2 linked regions of the Caenorhabditis elegans genome follow. The protein of the gene in region 1 purifies or fractionates together with the protein of each later gene. This does not show direct contact. Each region holds a gene or a part of one and is shown on either strand. Other genes may lie near its edges.

Region 1 (6,974 bases):
ATGCCCACGATTGTATTTTATGTCAATCTAATAAAAAACCTACAGTGTTCCCATTCTTCACGCACGTGGTTTTCTCTTTCAACAAGTGAAACTGGGGGAAGCCTCTCGCGCGGGTGTTGGTAGAAGCATCGAGGCAGTTTTGTTGAAGTTTTTGTAAGCACACACACACACCCACCCCCACCCACAGACAGGCACACACAAAAAGAGCCGAGAGAGAAAGCTACAACAAGCGGCGTGTTGCGGAAGAAACAGAAACTGGTAATATTAATGTTATGCCAAAATATCATGATAATGATGAGGATCTGTGAACGGTGGCATTGAAAACTATTTTCATATTTTGACAAATTGAACGGATTTCCATTCCAATAGTTCCATAATTGTACTTTTTTAAATGTGTTTCTGTCCCCAGAAAACTTTCTTATTCCGGGAACAAAAAATTATGAGAATCCATATTGCGTAACATGTTTGACGCTCAAAGTATCACGAAAACTACAGTAATTCTTGAAATGACTACTGTAGTGCTTGTGTCGATTTACGGGCTGGAATTTTGAAATGAATTTCTTTTGGAATACAGTGCTTTTTTTACAACTTCTACGACTTTAAAGGCGCGCGCATTTTCGCGCAATGGTCTCGCCACGCGCATCCCTTTGATTTGTTGAGCGCGTGGCGAGACCAATGACGGGACCATTTTGTATAAATACGCGCGCCTTTAAAGTCGTAGAAGTGGAAAAAAAATGCACTGTAGTTTCGAAAATCTATTGCTACAGTAGTCATTTAAAGAATTACTGTAGTTTTCGCTACGGGATATATTCAATGTTTCGCAATACGCATTCCAATCAGAACGGTAGTTCGAATTTCCCCCAAAACTAAACGTCTTGCCCTCTGATCCTGTTGCTTCCGCATGACAAATCAAAGAATAGAACGTGGAGCACATAAGCGCAAGCAACAGACACCTACACAAACAGAACTTTGCGGGTGTTGGTGTTTCCGCTGTTGGTTTTTTCTTCAATTGTGAGTCAAATCATACTTGCACTTTTAGCGAAGATTCATGAAGATCAATCGAACAAATAGTTGAAATCGTTATCAAGTTTACTGAGAAAAACCAATTTGATTAGGTAAAATAAATAGAAAAACAATTTTAAAAATTTGAGATCAATCACTGTCGCTGTCAACAGTCGGTTCCTTTTTCCGTGGTGAATCGTCATCTGATGAAACGTCCGAAGAGCTATCAGATCGTGATTTCTGCGGCTTGTCGTCATCAGAATCACTGCTCTGATCTGAACTGTCTCCTGAAAAATTGCATGTTCGCGTGGAAAATAACACTTCAAAACTTAAATTTACTCACCACCTTCTTCTTTCTTCTCTTGAATCTTTTCCAGAATCTCTTGTTTTCTGGTCTTTGGCTGTTCGTATAACTCAGCCTCTCTTTTATTCATGTCTTTTTGTTCCAGTTCGGAAGGATTTCGGTATGTGAGTGTCAATTTGGATTTTCTGCTCAATGCCATTTTTGGTTTTCTTGTCATCTTGACATTACAGTCAACTTCGTTGTACTGGAAAACGTTATTACGATGATACATAATGAAGACGTCACGATCCCTTGGTGGCAAGTGTTCCATTTTAAATGTGTATTCACGGCTTAGCAAGAATTCGTACTTCATATCCTCATCAAATGGTCGTTCTAACTCAAGATCATCCATAAAACTCGTAAGACATCCAATCGTTGGAACAAAAACTGCTGCAAATTTTTGATCTTCGAATTCCATGGCTTTAATAACACTGCTCTCCCGTGCTTGTTGTCGTTCATCTTCTTCTTCGAATTCTGTTGTTATAGTGTCTCCATCAAATTGTACATGAGCAAAGAGGTGTTTCCAGTGATCGAAATCAGGGAAGACAAAGCTTTCTTCAACAGCTTTTACACCCTTCTTGGAGTAATGCTCCTTGACGGGTTTACGAACCTAAAATACGCAAAAGTAGATTTAAATCAAAAAAATATATTCTGGTACTTACATCTTCAAATGTCTTGTTAATGGCATCAATTTGACTCTGCTTGTCACGATACATATCTTCAACTTGTTGATTTTTCTTCAAGTTATAACCAAGCTTCGTCTCCTGTCTATCGGCTGTCACACCGAACCGATTGAATTCAGTTGAAATGTACTCGGTTTTTCTCATCCATGGAACAAGTTTAGAATGCTGTTGAGATCGTTTTGCAATCAATTTAGCGGCGCCATCATCTTCCAGTAAAATATTGTCTTTCTCATCAATTTCCTAAAAGTGAAACATTTCTATCTTTGAAACTGTATATTTCAGGAAAAAACCTACAGTTTCGATTGGATCTTCGTCGTATTTTTTTAGATCAATCAAATCGACATTCAAACCCATGTCGTCGTCACAAATGACTGCATGCTTGTAATCTCGATAAATGGCAGCAGGTTGGAATTCGACAAATCTAAATTCAGAGATATTGAACAATGTCAAACGTTTCAAAATTGGTGTACCTTCCCAGAGGAACAAATGGACAAGTCATAAACTTTGCATCAAATGGGACATCAGGAACAGTATTGGTAAATCGAGGTTTCAGCATGAAATCCACTTTTCGTCTGCAAAATGTTTTCAAAACTTTTCTAGCGATTCAAAACAATAATACTTACGGAGGTTCAATCCTTTTGGCATCTGAGGATTCTTGGGGCATTTTTTATAGTAATTTAGTTATAATATTAAGATACCAATCGGCAGAAACGGCTGCAAATCGAAAAAACTAGTCACCGAGGGAATTAAATTCAAACTCTCACACACGGGTTTTGCGCAAGCGCTCAATGCGCGTCAGCAGGGAACAATGGCGCATAACCAGTTTTGCGCGGGTGTTCAAAAAGTATTTTTTGTTTTGTGAATTTCCAGCGTTCTCGTCACGATAATATTTATTTTATGACAAAATGCCATCATTAACATGATAATATTGTAAAAGGGACAATAATGTAAATATAAAGGTGACAATGAATGGTCCAGCAATGTAGAGAGCCAATGCTCCTTTCTGGAAAATTATATAAATGTGGGGTTGTGAACTTTTAAAGCCTACATTATCATGATCATCGTGCATTCCGATACTTTCACGCTGAACAAAGCTAACAGTATTCTCCATTTCAGCATTTAGCTCTTCACTACTTCCAAAGAAAACATCCCACAGCCAAGATCCGAACATTTTTTCCGAATTCCTTTCACAGCAGAGTGTACCATAATAAACTCGATGCTGGTATGTATGAACACATCGTCCCACTTTTTTCTTGTCACATAACTTCATGAATGTTTCCTCGGTTAGATTGAATGGCTTGAGAATTTCCTTCGAAGCACAACCAGAGGCAAATAGAAATGCGTGTTGCTCATTTCGAACGATTTCAGTGAGCATAATTTGTTGAAAGCATGTCTTGAAACCGGAAGTGCAGTTTTTGTACATGAAAGTTCGAAGTTCTTTGTGTCGAGTTCGGGATAAAATTGGGCAGGATACCTTGAATGAAATAATATTTTTACAATTTTCTAGAAAGATCTTATTTTGAAATTGCTCATAACCTACAAAAACATAACAATAGCAAAACAAATTGCGCCTAGTTTTTTGTCTATCTTTTTTTGTCTATCGTTTCTCTTTCATTAAAAATATTTGAAAGAAAATTTCCCAGGGACAACTGGAAAAGCTCAGGAATAGAACCAAGGAAAGTCCTTTATAACATCTCCTGTGTAAACCTACATTCACATTTTCCCCGTTCGCAACCAACACTTGATTGAAGAGCAAAACTGTATTAACCAAAATCGAAATTATCATAGTTTTCTTCATTGTCTAATTCTTTGATCTCTTCTCAGAAATTCCGAAATAAACTAAAAACTGCAATAAACCAAACTAATTATTGTGGCAGTTCATCACGCTGTTTATTTTGCAGAACAGAAGAGAAATACTATTGATAAGAAATAATAATCATCATTCATTGATTTTCGATTTCTGTTAATTCAATTCTATGCTTAAATTCTAGTGAAAATGTCTCCAAAATCAGTTGTGGTAACCGGATCCAATCGAGGATTGGGATTTGGATTAGTTCAACAATTTCTGAAAGATCCAAATGTTCAGCATGTCATTGCGACTGCAAGAGATGTTGATAAGGCAACTGTAAGTTTTTTCGAGTTTATTTATACTTTATCCGTTGCTGAGATTATAGTTATTTGTATTAGGTTTGTGTTCCTAATATTTGTATATGGTAAAAATTTCCCAACAACATGTATTGGACTACGGCATTCTTAATTTCCAATTTTTCAGGCTCTCAAGGGAATTTGTGATCCACGACTTCACATTCTTCAACTCTCACTCGGATCCGATGAATCAATTGCAAATTTTGCTGAAAAAGTGTCTGAAATTGTTGGAGAATCTGGATTAACTCTTCTTATAAATAATGCAGCTGTGATGCTTCCATATGTAACAAAACAAAAACCTGATCGAAAAGTTGTTCTGGATTTGTTTGAGTCAAATACAATTGGTCCAATGATGCTTACACAAAGCCTTGTACCACTCATAATCAAAGCTTCGAAACGACAGGAAGGCGATACACTTTCCGTTTCTCGTGGTGCAATCATTAATATTGCATCCGAATTTCTTGGTTCAATTTCTGAAAATACCAGTGGTTCTGGTGAATATAAAGCAATGGCATATCGAATGACGAAGTGTGCGGTGAATCAGTTTACAAAAACTCTCTCAATTGATCTAAAAGATGATCATATTTTAACAGCTGGAATTTGTCCAGGAATGGTTCAAACTGATATGAGTAAAGGGAAAGGACAACTTACTGTAAGATCATGCTTTTGAATTTCATAGTTATAATTGTTCCTTTTCAGATTGAGGAATCTTCCTCACAAATATTGGCGGCATTCAACAAACTAGGAGCAACACACAATGGCGGATATTTCCGAAGAGATCTTTCAATTATTCCGTATTAAAGTTTTCAGCCCTTTTTTATCCATTTAATGATTGTTGTACGACTGATTTACTTTCACTGTGTTCTTCTTGGTTTTATTTAAATCTGTATTGTTTATGTGTTGTATCAAACTTCTTAGAAACTTCTTTCTGATAAAGTATTGAAATAGAATTAACATTGAAGTAAACAATCAGATATGGGGACCTAAAAGATCAAGATGCAAAAATTTCAAAATTTGGTGCAATAAGCGGCAGGATTTGAAGCATATCGAATGATCATATCTCTTGAACGTTTCAAATCACGAAAAATCTGACGATCCGAGAAGCCTTGAGATAATTTTGCACAATTTGTCCTTTTTCGTAGTCAGTTAAAGTTATTCCACGACACATAGCTGTAAAAACACAAACGAGCATGAAACCTAACGTTTAGCAAAAAAAAATTGCAAAAAAAAACGAAAAAAGAAAACAAAAACCAAGGGTGGCCGTATCATTTTGTGGATTTTTTTATATGGTTTTTCATCAAAAAATGGTTTATCTTTTTTTACGAACGGTTCATGTATATTTCCAATACTTATCTGAAAGTTAGCCAGTACAGCGAACATTTTCACAAGAAACTATGTTTTGCTATCTCAACCCAGTTTTGAGTTATACCAAAATTTGGGGGTGGCCGTATCATTATGTGGAGCACTGTATATTTGTGATTTATGTAGCGAAATGACCAAACCTCTTTGATTTACCTAGTTTCTCTCATCTCAACAGTTCATTGGCAAACTCAGGTTTTCACTTCTTAATGAGAATTTATAGGATCTCAGAATTATCAAGGATCCCCGGATCCACATTCTTCCCTTGACAGTGACTTGTGATAAATCAATTGATGATTTTGTGATCAAAGTTGGAGAAATTGTTGGATCGGAGGGTCTCAATTTGCTTGTTAATAATGCAGGGATAATCACCAAATACAATAACAAATCGGTTCGTTAATTATTGGTTGAGATGATTAAACTTTTAATATTTTCAGGAGCCAAACCGTTCATTGATTGCCAATCAACTTGATGTCAACACTACAAGTGTAGTTTAAAAAAAAACATCAACTTTCCCTCCAGATGTGCTAGCATACAGAATGAGCAAGGCTGCAGTTAATATGTTTGGTAGAACATTGGCAATTGATCTGAAAGATGATCATATTTTGGTGGTCAACTTCTGTCCAGGATGGGTTCAAACTGGATTAGGAGGACCACTGGCTACCTACACTGTAAGTGATTCTTACACTTTAGCTCTTAATTTTCACAAATTTTGCTTTTAGGTTGAAGAATCAACAACAGAGTTAACTGCCAGTTTCTACAAACTAAACAACTCTCACAGTGGAAGATACTTTGACAGAAACCTCAATCCACACTCATTCTAAAAACATTGAGAGTTTTCTGTTTCTCAAACAGTCATAAAGTTATGTCATTTTTTTCATGATTCAAGACTTTTCAATCAGTCTCAATAAACGGATGACATTTTGTTTGTTTCCAGTTATCACTCTACACTTTTTTCTTTTTTCGGAAAATCAATGTCATCTATTTTCTGACCTTCGATCGCTGAGAATAAGTGTTTCGCGAGAAGATGCAAACTGTTTGTGTTTTAACGTGGAGATTTTTTTTGAACTATTTTTCCCGTGAGCTTTTATGTGGTGAATTTTGTTCCACGTTAACATGTCTTGTTATATTCCTTTCGATTAGTCTGATTTTTCGTCCTCAGTCATGTCTCCAAAAAGTGTTGTCATTACTGGAGCAAATCGTGGAATCGGACTTGGACTTGTTCAAGAATTCGTGAAAGATAAGAATATTCGTCATATTATTGCAACTGCTAGAGATGTTGAGAAAGCAACAGTAAGTTAATTTTTTTTTCAATGTCTGATATTTCGGGCACAAAAAACGTTTCAGGATTTGAAAGCAATTAGTGATCCTCGTGTTACTGCTCTCCAATTGGAAGTTACTTGTGATAAATCAATGGATACTTTTGTCTCAAAAGTTGAAGA
Region 2 (6,911 bases), 7.0 Mb from region 1:
GACGTAATACTAAAAGTAGAAATACGGTGTATTATATAATCGTTTTTAAAAAAAAGTTTTAGAATTTTCTAAAAATCCAAATTTTTCATAATTGCATAGAACATTAAAAACATTACAAAAAACATCAAAAAAGATGCAGCACGAGGAACCTGACATCTCAAATACACACTGAATTATGCCCTTCTCGAGTGATCTGCTTTCGGAAGATAGCTATCGAACCCGGTAGATCAGCCTCTCGTAGATCAAATATGCGTGATAGATTGAAAATTAATCCCGAAATGTTCTTTAATATTGTAGATTCGTAATCTGTGAAATCGAAGAACCACGCTATCAAGTTTTGTTTCAAAAACTGGAAAATGCTGAACCCAAGTTTAGGAATTTTAAGAAATCGTGTACTTACCTCAAATTTTTATTTTTAATTTTCAGTAGAGGCTAGTTAGACACTTTTAGTTGCTTGGCCGTTAATCAATGGAAATTTAATAATTTATACTGTACATATGTTATTTTTCTCTATTTTTTCCATTTTATTTTCGGCAACCGGTTTTTGGAATTTTTTTTGTCAGATTTTTACAGTTTATGTTCTGGATGGGATTGTTTTTTTTAATCTCAAAATTTTTGCACGTTTCAGGTTTCAATATCATTTTACATATTCAATGAGAAATCAACTTTTCTGCAGAAGCCAGCGTCCACTTCAAAATAATTTTTGAACGGTATAGCAAATTGATAATAGTTAAGATTTCAACAACCAGGCTGTCACATAAAAATTGCACTCTATAAAAAATCGGTTTTTCAAAGAATTGGCAAACGTACAGAACTGTTCATTTCAGTACGAAAGTATAACTTTTTCAAATCAAATATTTAAAAAAAATGTAGAAAATTGTTTGTTCAATCTGAAATTTTTATTCATTTTTATTTGAAAGTTTAAAAAATACCTCAAACGGTCGTTGAAAATTTCAGTTTGCTGTGAAAAATTCAAAGTAATTTTTGCACAAAACAACAATTTTAAGGCCCTATTTAAAGTTTCTTTTAGATTTTTCAACAATAAACTTTTTATTTTCAGAAGGCCTTTCCGGCATTTCTATTTTTTTTTTTTTGACTGTAAATATAACTTTTTAAAACAATTTTTGAAAATTTTTACTATGATATTTCCTAATTTTGGCACGATATTACGCTACTTCACCTTTTAAAAATTTTTAATTTGTGTCTTTTGTTGTTTTTTCATTACTTCAAACGATCAAATAATGATTTTCGAACTCACCCACTTTTCGGTCATCTGACAACACTTTTCCCCTCTTATCTAGGCGTCCTTCATTTCAACGTCGTCCACTTCCTACTACTGTTTCATCACATGAACATCTATCTGCATGTATTTCAAATTTCTGTCAATAGTCTCAGTTCTCACATTGCCACAAACAAAAACAATTGTCATGTTTTTGGAATTTGCATGAAAAAAAAGTGAAAATTGGCCTCCGCATCATTGAACATTTTCCGTTACGGTCTTTTCATCTTTTTTCTATTTTTCCGGCATTCATTTTTTGTGACTGAGCGAAAACCGTTTGTTCATCTCTCGTCTCTATTTCTTGCCGATGGTCACAAAATACCTCTTATCATTTATTTTGTTTATCATTTTGTCATCTATTGGTTTAAACGTAGCTTCTCCTTTTACATTTATCAGTTTTCTGCTTTTCGGTCATATTCATTTTGAGTATTTGCAGAATGACCGTAGACTCTATTCCATTGAATACCGGAGCTCAGCTTCCACTTTTCGGATTGGGAACGTGGCAGGTGAAGGATGAAGCTGAGCTGACTGTGGCTCTTCGTGCAGCTCTTGATGCTGGATACAGACTTATTGGTGAGTGCTGTCCTAGATGGAAACCATAATTTTTTTTTAGTCATGTTTTCTTTTCTTCTTCCATTTGAGATGTCACAAAAAAATAATTGGAAAATAAAAACCGATTTAAAAAATGTTATTTTTGGCCAAAAACGGAAAACTCAAAAAAAAAGTGGTGGCTTGCTCAAACCAGTTAATTAAATTTTTTGCACAATTGAAAAAAAACATTAAAAATTTTGAAATTTTTTTCCAACATTTTTTACATTCGGTAACTACGACCCATTTTCAAAAAACCGACAAACTTTACTCACACCTTTAACTTCAGATTTTCCCATTCAAATTCTAGGTATTTTTCTACTTTTTGACACAAATGTTGAGATTTTTTACGGTGTCCAGTTTTTCGAGTTTTCGAATAAAACCATTGGCAAAGTTGATCCTTGGAGGGCAGTTTTGACAACGTTTTGACAACTGAAAATCCCATTTTTTCAATATTCAGACACTGCTCACCTCTACCAAAACGAGCACATTATTGGAAAAGTGCTCCATGAGTACATCTCATCTGGAAAACTGAAACGCGAGGACATCTTCGTCACCTCTAAACTTCCATTTACCGCTCACGCCCCGGAAGATGTTCCAAAATGTGTGGAAAGCCAATTGAAGGCGCTTCAACTTGAGTATATTGACCTGTATTTGATCCATTGCCCATTCCCATTCAAACATCAGGAGGGAAGCTTTGCTCCATTGATGGAGAATGGAGAGCTTGCTGTTACAGAAATCGCTCATATTGATACATGGAGAGCGTTGGAGAAGTTGTACAAGGAGGGAAAGCTTAAGGTTTGTGAGATTTGGTCTTGAAGGAACATCAGCAATTTCGATTTCCATAAAGTAATTGAATCAGGGGTGGGCGGCAATGCCATTCGGCAAATTTTTTTGTCGACAAGTTCGGCAAAACGGCAAATTGCCGGTTTGACGGTTTGCCGGAAGTTTTCATTTTCGGCAATTCGCTGATTCGCCGTTCGCCATTATATAAATTTGCCGGAAGTGTTTAGAGGGAATTTTTTATAAGACGGAAGCACTTAACACTGTGTCTTTTTGAAATTTTTTCCCGTTTTCATTAAACATTTTCAAAGGATTTGCTTATTTTTCAAAACAGATGTAGAAACATTCATAGGATGCGTACAATTTTGCCGATTAAAATTGAAATTCTGAAATTTCCAAAAAAAAAAGTGCAAAACCACAATTTTTCGAAAATTATTGGCCTTTTTTCCGGCAAATTCGGTAAGCAATTTGTCAGTTTGCCGATTTGGCGGAAATTTTTAAACAGGCAGTTTGCCCGAAAAATCGTTTGCCGTCCATGTGATGAAAAGTTTGTATTAAAAATGTTCTTATTAAATTTTTTCTTGAAAATTTCCAGTGGTTTATTCAAAAAATGTAGTCAAAATTAGACCCACCGGGTGTCAGCTGCTGTAACGTTTTTTGGAATACATATACTTATAAAATTTCAGCAGAATGTAGAAAAATTAGTTGCCAATATTTTGTTAACTATCCATGTTCAAGTTACACGTAGTGTTCTTTCTCCAAAAATATAATTTTCAGGCCCTTGGAGTATCCAACTTCAGTTGCAACCAGCTTCAAGCGCTCTATGACGCCGCCGAAGTGAAGCCAGCCAACCAACAAGTCGAGTGTCACATCTATTGGCCACAACAAGAGCTCCGTGCTCTGTGCAAAAAACTCGGAGTCACTGTTACAGCATACGCACCACTTGGCTCACCAGGCAGAAAAGCTGCTCGTCCGGACGGTGTCTGGCCGGAAGGTGACCCACTTCTCGAGCCAATCGTCAAACAACTGGCTGCCAAGTATCACAAAACTGCTGCACAGATTCTCATTCGCCACCTGACTCAACACGGTATTTCGACGATTCCGAAGAGTGTCAGTCCGGACAGAATTGTTGAGAATATCTCGACGTTTGATTTTAAGCTGAGCGATGAGGATATGCACACTTTGAACAGTATCGAGACCAGAACTAGACTTTTCATCGCTGATTTGTAGGTTTTTTATCTATGGAACGAATGTTTTAAAATTAAAAAAAACCATTTCAAGTTTGAAACTTTTATATTTTTGTCGAAATTATTTCCCCTCCACTCGCTCACTTCAGGATATTTTCCCGTCAGTGGGCCGGTAAATCTTCAGTAGTCCAAACCAAGAGTGCGCTGCAATTGGCAATTTCATCAATTGCCGGTTTTGAAAAATTCCGGCAATCGGCGATTCCGGCGATTGCCGAAATTGCAGAAATTGTCGATTGCCGGACATTTTCGGCGATTTTCAAACCTAACTATATTTCGGAAATTGAAAAAATTGCAAATTGGTTTTTAGTATTCAGTTAGTCATTTTCTGAAAGAAAGCGTTAAATCCATCAAGGATTCAATCATTTTGAGCTTGAAAAAGGAAAATTGTTCCTTAAAATGCATGTTTAGGCTAAAATTATATTTCCGGCAATTCTGATTTCCGGCAACTGGCAATTTTGGCAATTGCCAGTTTTGGAAATTTTCGGCAATTGACAATTTTGCCAACTGCCGAAATTTCCAAAATTGGCAAAAATTCGATGGTCCAAACTCAAGAATTCCAGCTCAAAATTATACAATCCTATAAACAAATTAAATCACACTTTTCCTCGTGTAGTACACAAAGCTATGCAAATTATCATTGTATAATTTTTCAGCGCTGTCAAGCATCCATTCTTCCCACACGACGACATTGACACCTCCAAAGTTCCAAAAGTTGGGATCAGACTTCACTAGACTTTTGGCTCAACTTGTGAATTAGAAAACAAAATGGATTGTAGAACTCTTTATCGCACATTTCTTATTATGAATATTTGTAATTTTGATTCGAAATAATGAAGTACATCATATATATATATATATATATATATATATATATATATATATATATATATATATATATATATATTTCCCGCATGTATTTTATGGTCGAATATCAGGGGATAAACCAGTCTCGGAAGTGTTGGCGAAACAATAAAAAAAAACAGTTGATGATCGACAAATAATTGGACAACAGGTCTCGTCTCACTTCAAAAGGTTTCCGACGAAGAGGACCATCGACCTTGAGACCAAACAAACGACAGATTTTTGATTGCATAATTGAGGATGAAGTGAAGGCACTTCTTTTTTTTGGTGTGCATATCAGATCATAGGCGACTACATTTCGGCACCTCATTTGTTTCCTTACGTTATTCCACACTTAATCTGCCAAAACAGTTTGTGGGGGTACAGGTGGTGGGATTTGGAATGAGTTCCTATAAATAATTTAGGCAAATTATGAATGCTATAGGAAATTTCAATTTTTTTTTGAGATGAAAAATGATGAAGTAGAATATTTAAAAAAAAAACAATTTAAATTAGCATATTCAAGAAAAATTTCAAAATTTTTTTATTTACAGTTTCAGTTTTTTTCTATAATAATTTTCAAGCCTACAGCAATTCTTGGAATTTTTCAAAAATTTATGATTTTGGAAATTTTGAGATTTACCAAAAACTTGACAGAAAATTTTGAAAAATCTGATTTTTTTGTAGTTTTTCAGATATTATATTTGATCATGTAAAACGTGTGTATAAGTTTATTGAGACGAAATTCCCACTCACTGCATATTTATACTTTAAAAAACTATTTGGAACAACTAAAATGTATCTATGCAAAGCAGGCGTTTCTGAAATTTCACTACTCGGTTTTTTTTAAACAAAAATCATTATTTTACGTTTTTCAGCTCGGGTGAATATTTTTAGTTTAGTCAAACTTGAAAAATATTTTTTCTCAAAATACCTGCTCCAAAATAATTTTTTTTTCCGAAAATCTATTATGAAACATTTTTATCTTTTCCAAAAGATATAATGATTTTTGCAGCTGAACAAGATATGGTAAATACTTAACATACTTATATAATTTTTGAAAAATAAAAAAAATTGAAAAAAACAGGCACTAACTTCTCAACGGTACCTTAAAAATTAGTTTCAGATCCATTTTCAAATTTTTTAAAAGTTCTGCACGCCTCGTCGACAAGAACTATTAGTCTATGTTTAGTATATTCTAGTTTTTTTTTAACATAAACGTTTTTAATTTAGTGATCTTCTAGAAAATATTAACTATTTGGCAAATTTATCTTGATCTCAAAATTATTTAGTACATTGATTTTTTGAGCCGATACCCTCTGTATACTGGGTAAACAATGATTGATAGAGTGTGCAATTTTTCAGATAAAATCAAGTAAATTTTCTAAACATTCTAAAATTTATGTTCAATCCTTTTTTTAAAGAATTAATACACTATACGAATACTCCTTCGGATTTACTGCCCAAATAGACCCCAGCCATAAAAACGCTGGATTTCCGATCGATAAATTCCCCTACACCATTTGACCCCAGGCGGTTCCCGGGAGCTAAAATTGGAAAGAGGTCAGGGAGACAAAGAGTGATGACGTGGTCACACCGCCTGTAAGTGGTGTCATTTCTTGGATTAGAGTATACTTTTTTTTGGTATTCGCACTATACTGCTATTTCGTGGTCTCGCCATGTTTTTCCGTACTCTTTTGTATACTTTTTCTTTGATTATTTGTTTGTAAATTTGATTGCTCTGAATTTGTAGTCAAGTTTTCGTCTAGTTAACTTGAAAGGTGCAGCTCTGTTTGAATTCGCCAATGTACTTTCGTATAAATACAGTTTCGCAGTACATAATTATTTCAAAGTCCCCCAGTTTTAAAAACATGGTTTTTTTTTTAAATTTATTTTTCAAAATTGAATTCTAGTTTAGAAATCTGTATTTTTGTCAATTTCCTGGCAACAATACCACCTGCCTTTATTAGCTGTGTAGTTGGCTTTGAACTAGTGTGGAGATGGCAGGCTGTCTGGGAAACAGAAGGAGGCGATGTCCTGTACGTCCACTGGCAGACGGTCTTGGCCAGTATACTTTTGAACCTGCTCGCACTATAGTGCTGGTCATGGTTCAATTTTGTTTCCTTTTTAAAAAATTGTATTTAAATTTTGGAATATTTTTCTCGGGATCTAGA

Evidence for each region. Proteins that work in one complex are often made in the same cells at the same time.
Region 2: the proteins of C55A6.7 (region 1) and exc-15 fractionate together in Caenorhabditis elegans (co-fractionation; one large-scale study listed by BioGRID). This does not show direct contact.

What each region holds. Positions count from the first base shown.
Region 1 is NC_003283.11:11,517,484-11,524,457, reverse strand, and holds C55A6.7 (DeHydrogenases, Short chain), read left to right. Parts: upstream 1-3,927; 5' UTR 3,928-4,024; coding exon 4,025-4,153; intron 4,154-4,300; coding exon 4,301-4,825; intron 4,826-4,872; coding exon 4,873-4,974; 3' UTR 4,975-5,124; downstream 5,125-6,974. Other genes in the region: pafo-1 (RNA polymerase II-associated factor 1 homolog), read right to left, coding at 1,153-1,289, 1,346-1,955, 2,008-2,268, 2,323-2,449, 2,499-2,600, 2,652-2,692; C55A6.11 (uncharacterized protein), read right to left, coding at 2,924-3,031, 3,077-3,502, 3,740-3,826; C55A6.4 (DeHydrogenases, Short chain), read left to right, coding at 6,697-6,825, 6,880-6,974.
Region 2 is NC_003283.11:4,481,789-4,488,699, forward strand, and holds exc-15 (NADP-dependent oxidoreductase domain-containing protein), read left to right. Parts: upstream 1-1,670; 5' UTR 1,671-1,716; coding exon 1,717-1,852; intron 1,853-2,327; coding exon 2,328-2,665; intron 2,666-3,427; coding exon 3,428-3,876; intron 3,877-4,550; coding exon 4,551-4,629; 3' UTR 4,630-4,755; downstream 4,756-6,911.